2 linked regions of the Arabidopsis thaliana genome follow. The protein of the gene in region 1 interacts with the protein of each later gene in a pairwise test. Each region holds a gene or a part of one and is shown in the gene's direction. Other genes may lie near its edges. The genes, in order: ADF3 and ETR2.

Evidence for each region.
Region 2: the proteins of ADF3 (region 1) and ETR2 interact in a two-hybrid assay, tested with the Arabidopsis thaliana proteins (one study listed by BioGRID).

What each region holds. Positions count from the first base shown.
Region 1 is NC_003076.8:24,118,425-24,122,353, forward strand, and holds ADF3 (actin depolymerizing factor 3), read left to right. Parts: upstream 1-1,739; 5' UTR 1,740-1,957; coding exon 1,958-1,960; intron 1,961-2,694; coding exon 2,695-2,960; intron 2,961-3,053; coding exon 3,054-3,204; 3' UTR 3,205-3,525; downstream 3,526-3,929. UniProt on the Arabidopsis thaliana protein: Actin-depolymerizing protein. Severs actin filaments (F-actin) and binds to actin monomers.
Region 2 is NC_003074.8:8,252,675-8,256,603, forward strand, and holds the start of ETR2 (Signal transduction histidine kinase, hybrid-type, ethylene sensor), read left to right. Parts: upstream 1-1,884; 5' UTR 1,885-2,350; intron 2,351-2,447; 5' UTR 2,448-2,481; coding exon 2,482-3,929. Other genes in the region: AT3G23145 (ATP binding / aminoacyl-tRNA ligase/ nucleotide binding protein), read left to right, coding at 1-152, 279-342, 458-522. UniProt on the Arabidopsis thaliana protein: Ethylene receptor related to bacterial two-component regulators. Acts as a redundant negative regulator of ethylene signaling.

The sequences.
Region 1 (3,929 bases):
TTCTAAACTATAAAATAAAAATATTTTATAAATAGTTACATAGATAGTTACAAATTGTAAACTTTTATATATACTACCTTTAAAATATAAATTGTCTCCGCGGTATACCGCGGGTAAAAATCTAGTAACGCCTATTATGGTTTGAAATATGATTCATCACATATTATATATATTTTTATTTGTTTGTAGTTTTGTATGTTTTGGGGTTTTGGCTATGTTTTTCTATAAAAATCAACACAATACTAAGTTGAGTAAAATAAATTATTGAACCAGTCAGCGATACAAAAATATCTAATAAGGAAGACCAAATAATCAGCATGAAAGGTCGACAATTAATGAAGAAAGTCATTTTGTAGAAATGCAAGCCTTTTGATACCAGCATAGCATACGGGCTTCTAAATTCTAATGCTCACATAATGTCATTTATTGTTTAAGAAATATCTAATATCGCTCGAAATATGAGATTTGTTGTTGTCGAAAAAACATAATCCAAAGAGTTATCAAGAATCTAAAATCTTGTGTTATCAATAATCTATAATCTCGAAGGAAGTATGCTTTGGTTCAATCAAGTAACACACGTCAATCTTAATCCTATTGAAACAATGGTATAGAAATATGCAAATACGATCATATCAACTAAGATATACCGAAACCAAATATATTGGGATCTTTCAAAAGGACACGATCGGGAACTCTAACTACTGTTTGAGACTTTCCTAAAGTTATATCGATAACTAACGGTCAAATACCTGCAAATTTTGGATATATATAAAGATATATACCGAGTTTGTGTATAAACATGTTGTTTCTCCTAATCATACGTTATTGGAAACATTAACGCGGTTTGCTTTATGCAACTTTGAAACATTTGCTAATTTGTTGATATAAAATTTGGCTATTTATACTGTTTAGTTTAGTAAGGAATTAACACAAATGTTTTAGCGCATTATTGCACATTTGTGTGAAATAATATACTATTTTCGGGAAAATCATAATCGAAATAGAATTCCAAAATTTCCACGTGGCATATTATGAAAGGAATATTCCAGCTCGGGTAAGCTGGCCTCCATCACCGGTTATGATGAAAGGTGAGCCGAAAGTGGAGCCAACCTGAGATGCCCCGCATGAGAGCCATATGCTTCTTCGACCTTTCATTCTATATTCTTTCCTTTTAAAGATAGCAACTATTGATCAAAAAAAAGAAGAAAAAAGATAGGAACTATAGAACTATAGTCTTTTTTTTTCAACGAAGAACAAATATATGGTTATGAACTATTCTTAATGGATGGTCAAACAGATTTTTTGATTTTTTTCTAAGAAATTTTGCATGTGAATACATAACTACAGTTAATTCCATTCAACTGTTACTTTTCTTTGGGTGAAACAATAGGTTGGCAACTTGGCATAGATATCAACATCAGAGTTTTGAACAAATCTATCATCATTTAAGAAATGATAGAAAATCAAGTATTGTTTTTCAAATCAAGAAATATCAAAGAAGAATTCTGTATTAAGTTTAGTTCTCATGGAAGCCATAGAATATATCAGAAGTTTGAAACAAACAGCAAATATATGGAATAAAAAACATAGTTATTGGAATAAATAGAATAGTTATTTTTTTTTGTTTGGCATAAAATAAAGAAAATTATTTGTTCAACAAATTGTTACAGATTTCACTTATGTATATTTTGAACTAATTCTTATTTTTATATTAATTAAATCAAGATTTTACTTTTGAAAAATAATTAATGAATTTATGAAACAATCTCTATGTAAATAAAATAAAGCAAATTAAAACGCTCACACATGTTTACTTATTCGGACTAGAGAGCTTCCGCATAAAGCTGAGGAAAAAAAAGAGAGAAGACGCACACCGAAGAAAACACACAAGACTCCATTATTCTCCTGCTTCTTCGTCTCTTCAATTATTTTCTCTGAGACTAGCTTTGATTCAACCATGGTGAGCTCAAGTCTAATTTTTCTCTCTTATATAGTTCTCTTTCTTTGTTCTCTATGGCTTGATTTGAACTTTGCTTCTCGATTCGAGTTCCATTTCATCTTGGATTTTCAATTCTTCCGATTTAAGTTCTCGCCCAGAGTTAGATATGATTAGATCTGTAGATGGACTCGTTTCTTTGTTTAGATCTCTGAGATTTTGGATTTGTATGGTTAGATGGACTGATCTAGGATATGAATCGGCCGATAGTAAAGTCTTCAATTTCAGTGTGCTTGTGTTGGTTTTAGCCAATTGATTTTGAAACCAGGAAGAATAATAGTGTTCCATGTGGTTTTCCTTTGATTTTAGGGTTACGTCTATCGTTTGTTTAGCCTTTTCCTTTTATAAGATATTGTTTTCTCGCTTCTTTGAGTTATTATTTGCTGCTGTTGAAGTTTTCAGATGTGTGTTTGATTCTGTTGATGGTAGAGTATCATCCGATTAATATGATTCAGAACTGTAAAATCTGTCAAATTGATATTATGATAGCTCAACATCATCGTTCATATACGTTGTGGGAGTCATCCACGTCTTCCCTTTGATATACACACTACCAAGATCTGTTCATGATTCATTATGTTTGATCTCTGAACTAATGTATAACCCGAACGCCGTTTTAAAAGATGGGTATAGTGTCTACTAATATGTGTATTCTGAAGAGAGTTGCATCTTAATGTTCTATGTTTTGTTGGTAACAGGCTAATGCAGCATCAGGAATGGCAGTCCATGATGACTGCAAGCTGAAATTTATGGAATTGAAGACGAAAAGGACACACCGTTTCATCATTTACAAGATTGAGGAGCTGCAGAAACAAGTGATTGTTGAGAAAATCGGTGAACCGGGTCAAACCCATGAGGACCTTGCTGCAAGTCTTCCAGCTGATGAATGCCGCTATGCCATTTTCGATTTTGATTTTGTCAGTTCTGAGGGTGTCCCAAGGAGCAGGATTTTTTTCGTGGCATGGTAACTAACTAACTATACTATCTCTGCTAAAACCTGTCTATCTTGGTTTCACATTCTTTTCATTAACATTTCTTCTTGTTTTTTTTTTGCCAGGTCTCCGGACACAGCAAGAGTGAGAAGCAAGATGATCTATGCGAGCTCCAAGGACAGGTTCAAGAGAGAACTAGACGGAATTCAGGTCGAGCTTCAGGCAACCGATCCAACCGAGATGGATCTTGATGTTTTCAAAAGCCGAGCCAATTGATGAAAGAAATCCCCTGAAAATTTCGGTTGAATCAAACTTTTTCGTACTATTACTCAGTGATGCTTTTTCCTAAAGTTTGCTGTGACGGTACCAACCTGAACAGCTTCATTTTATCAGTTTGGTCTTTGTCTTTGTCTTTGGTCTCCTTTTTGGGTCCTTATAGTGTTGTCTTAAAACTTAAGGAATCTGGCTTGTGCTCTTTACCATTGTGGAAGAAATCGAACCCTTTATTAAACAAGAATCCTATTGGCACATCTTGTCTTCACATAATGAAAACTAATGATCCAGGGATTAAAAAGTTGTGAAAGTTTTATAGGCAAGTTGATACTGTGCAAAGGTAATATACATTTTCAAACATAAGGATCTCTGGATTGATAGAATTTCATTTCGTACACGACTATTCACATATTCGTCAATGCGACTATTTCAGGTTCAAAGTATTAGGAATTTAGGATAGTTCCAATAACGAGAAGAGTTGCTCAATCGAGTTTGGTCCAATAAGATAAACTGACCATCAAACATAAAATCCTAATCGATACTTTTGATTATTTGGAAACAGATCCAACCATTGGCAGTTGTCCATTGCTCATTCTACGCAATCTTTCAACTGTCAAATCTTAGCCCAACAAAAATACTTAGATGATTATTATATGTTGACCAAAACAATAATAATATGCTTACCATATAGTTTATTAATTCATAAATAAATTGAAGAATACGAAATT
Region 2 (3,929 bases), on another chromosome or scaffold:
TGATTACTTTTAGCGATTTCTCAAGTGTGACTTTTCGACTAGTAGCAGATGATTATGTCATGAATGATAGTGGTACTGGTATTGTCCATTGTGCTCCTGTCTTTGGTGCAGATGACTATCGTGTTTGTCTTGAGAACGAGATAATTAAGAAGGTTAGATTTGACAACATCTTCCTTATATCACCACCTTTAACATTAAGTTTATTTTCTTTCTTGTTTAAGTTTACAGTATCTTCAAGAACCCATGTTCATGACACATTTTGTTCATGTGTTGTTTAGATTGTCAGAGATTTCAAACGTCCAGATGGTTTGAAAGATACAGAGATTGATGCAGCTGTAGATAGTACATATCTTAATTAAAAATACCACTTCTCTATGCTCTATTGTTGAGGAAACATATAATATTTGCATTCGTTCATGGTTCAGATATGATGTTATGGTAATTCTTGATCTACGAGAAGATGAATCTTTGAAAAACGAAGGTGTTGCCCGTGAGGTAAATAAATGTAACCGAAGCGATTAATGGTCATATATAAGTTGTATATTTGATATATGGGTTTCCTTCTCATTGTGCTCATGCATTGAAAAGCACCCTGTTATGACTGTGGTTCTAGGAGAACATTTGCATTTGACAGTCGGTGACTAATTGTTAAGCAAGAAGAACGCATGAGAGCCTTTTAAAGTGTTTTCTTCTAGATCGTTGCAAAAAGTTAAATGTCTCTTGAGACTTTGTACTCATTCTATAGATAAAGATGGGATTTATTACAAAAACAACAAGAAACTTTGTTACTTGTGGAAATTCAAAATTATCCGAACTAGCTTCACAAAATATGCTCAAGAGTTTCAATGTATTTTTTTTTGTTCTGTAATTGTATGACTCCGTTTGAAGCATCAAGATTATGGTTATAGGTAGTGATGCTAAAACTCTCTGTTGTTACAGTGACCACTAAAAACACCAACAAAAAAAACTTAGGTAACGTGTCGTCTAAAAACTTCTAGGTTCAATTTCTTTAGATAGTACTATCAATAAATAAAATAAATATGTACAAAGGCTTTAAACAATGATGTTTTTCAAAGATGATTGGTAGATACTAATTAGAGCTTCAATATAAAAGAACACATGCGATTCTGACATTCTGTGGTCTAACATGGTTTCTTCTAGAGTCAAAACCATACAATTAAAAGTTAGGAAAGTAATAGCAATGTGGTTTCAAATATATACTCATTACTCTTTAGATTCATGTATGGTGAAGGAAACATTATAATAAAATCAAAGATCACAGTTTTGTAGGTCCCTCATATTAATCAACATCTTAAGGCGTTATACATATCTTCTTTTTGTAAATATTTGACTAATTAAAATATCTAATTAGAGTATTAGACTAATCTCATCAAATATCCGACTACTTGTGTCAGTTCAAAACACAGTGATTACGTTAGATTTTGTGCTCTTTTGTTTATAAACAAAGCTAATTTAAGAAATATATGATCTATTTGCCTCCTTGGTCTTAATTTTATACTTTCTTGGAATAAAACACATTTATTAAAATAATTTTTAGGTTCCTAGATTCATGTCATGTGGCTTGATAGTTTCCAACAATTATACCAATATTTTACTCATTCATATACAAATAAACAAGCTTTATTCTATTCTTCAGTCTCATGATATACGGGATTTTGATAAAATTCAGAGTACCCATTAATTATTCTATGTTACAGCTTGTAATAAGTTAAATTTATAAAACGTACAAGTTGAGGAAATAACAAATGTTTTCAATATTAAATGATTTATTAATACATTAGTGACCAAAAAATTATTAAGTGTAAGAAAAAAAACACAACTCAGAAAAAATTCAAAAGACCGTCTAAGTTCGGTTCATGTAAGAACAAGTGGGACCTCTTTAAGTTTCTAAATCAGAGAATAAAGAAGAAGAAAAAATCTCAAAACCTTCCTCTAAAACCAACGGCTCCTACCTTTACTTACACCCTATACATACACTTCTCTTTTTATCCTCCATCGGCGGCTTATGGCGGTTTTCCGGCACTAATCATCTCCGGCATATATAAATAAACGTACTTCACGTTTTTTTATATAACTTCAAAGTAGTTTCAGATTTGTCTCTATCTCTTCACTTTTAAGTCTTCTGGTTTTGTCATCACCAGCTTTTTTTGTTCTGTCTCTGTCTTTCTCTTTGTGTATTTTTATTCTCGTCATCGTTGTTCTTCTATGAGAGGAAGATCGGAATGTCGAAGAGAATTAGAAGATTCTCGTACATCACTTCGTTGGAATTTCACAGGTCGATGAGAGATCTGAGAACTGTTTCATTTTGATCCAAACTCATCTCTTTCAGGTATTCCAAATTTTTCTTTCTCTGTTCTTTCTACTATTACCCAAATTAAAGTTTTGATTTTTATTTCTCACTCTGTTTCTTGTTTTTCTAATTGCAGAGTATAATGGACTAAGCATTTTTTTTCTCCGAAGATGGTTAAAGAAATAGCTTCTTGGTTATTGATACTATCAATGGTGGTGTTTGTTTCTCCGGTTTTAGCTATAAACGGCGGTGGTTATCCACGATGTAACTGCGAAGACGAAGGAAACAGTTTCTGGAGTACAGAGAACATTCTAGAAACTCAAAGAGTAAGCGATTTCTTAATCGCAGTAGCTTATTTCTCAATCCCTATTGAGTTACTTTACTTCGTGAGTTGTTCCAATGTTCCATTCAAATGGGTTCTCTTTGAGTTTATCGCCTTCATTGTTCTTTGTGGTATGACTCATCTTCTTCATGGTTGGACTTACTCTGCTCATCCATTTAGATTAATGATGGCGTTTACTGTTTTCAAGATGTTGACTGCTTTAGTCTCTTGTGCTACTGCGATTACGCTTATTACTTTGATTCCTCTGCTTTTGAAAGTTAAAGTTAGAGAGTTTATGCTTAAGAAGAAAGCTCATGAGCTTGGTCGTGAAGTTGGTTTGATTTTGATTAAGAAAGAGACTGGCTTTCATGTTCGTATGCTTACTCAAGAGATTCGTAAGTCTTTGGATCGTCATACGATTCTTTATACTACTTTGGTTGAGCTTTCGAAGACTTTAGGGTTGCAGAATTGTGCGGTTTGGATGCCGAATGACGGTGGAACGGAGATGGATTTGACTCATGAGTTGAGAGGGAGAGGTGGTTATGGTGGTTGTTCTGTTTCTATGGAGGATTTGGATGTTGTTAGGATTAGGGAGAGTGATGAAGTGAATGTGTTGAGTGTTGACTCGTCCATTGCTCGAGCTAGTGGTGGTGGTGGGGATGTTAGTGAGATTGGTGCCGTGGCTGCTATTAGAATGCCGATGCTTCGTGTTTCGGATTTTAATGGAGAGCTAAGTTATGCGATACTTGTTTGTGTTTTACCGGGCGGGACGCCTCGGGATTGGACTTATCAGGAGATTGAGATTGTTAAAGTTGTGGCGGATCAAGTAACCGTTGCGTTAGATCATGCAGCGGTTCTTGAAGAGTCTCAGCTTATGAGGGAGAAGCTGGCGGAACAGAACAGGGCGTTGCAGATGGCGAAGAGAGACGCGTTGAGAGCGAGCCAAGCGAGGAATGCGTTTCAGAAAACGATGAGCGAAGGGATGAGGCGTCCTATGCATTCGATACTCGGTCTTTTGTCGATGATTCAGGACGAGAAGTTGAGTGACGAGCAGAAAATGATTGTTGATACGATGGTTAAAACAGGGAATGTTATGTCGAATTTGGTGGGGGACTCTATGGATGTGCCTGACGGTAGATTTGGTACGGAGATGAAACCATTTAGTCTGCATCGTACGATCCATGAAGCAGCTTGTATGGCGAGATGTTTGTGTCTATGCAATGGAATTAGGTTCTTGGTTGACGCGGAGAAGTCTCTACCTGATAATGTAGTAGGTGATGAAAGAAGGGTCTTTCA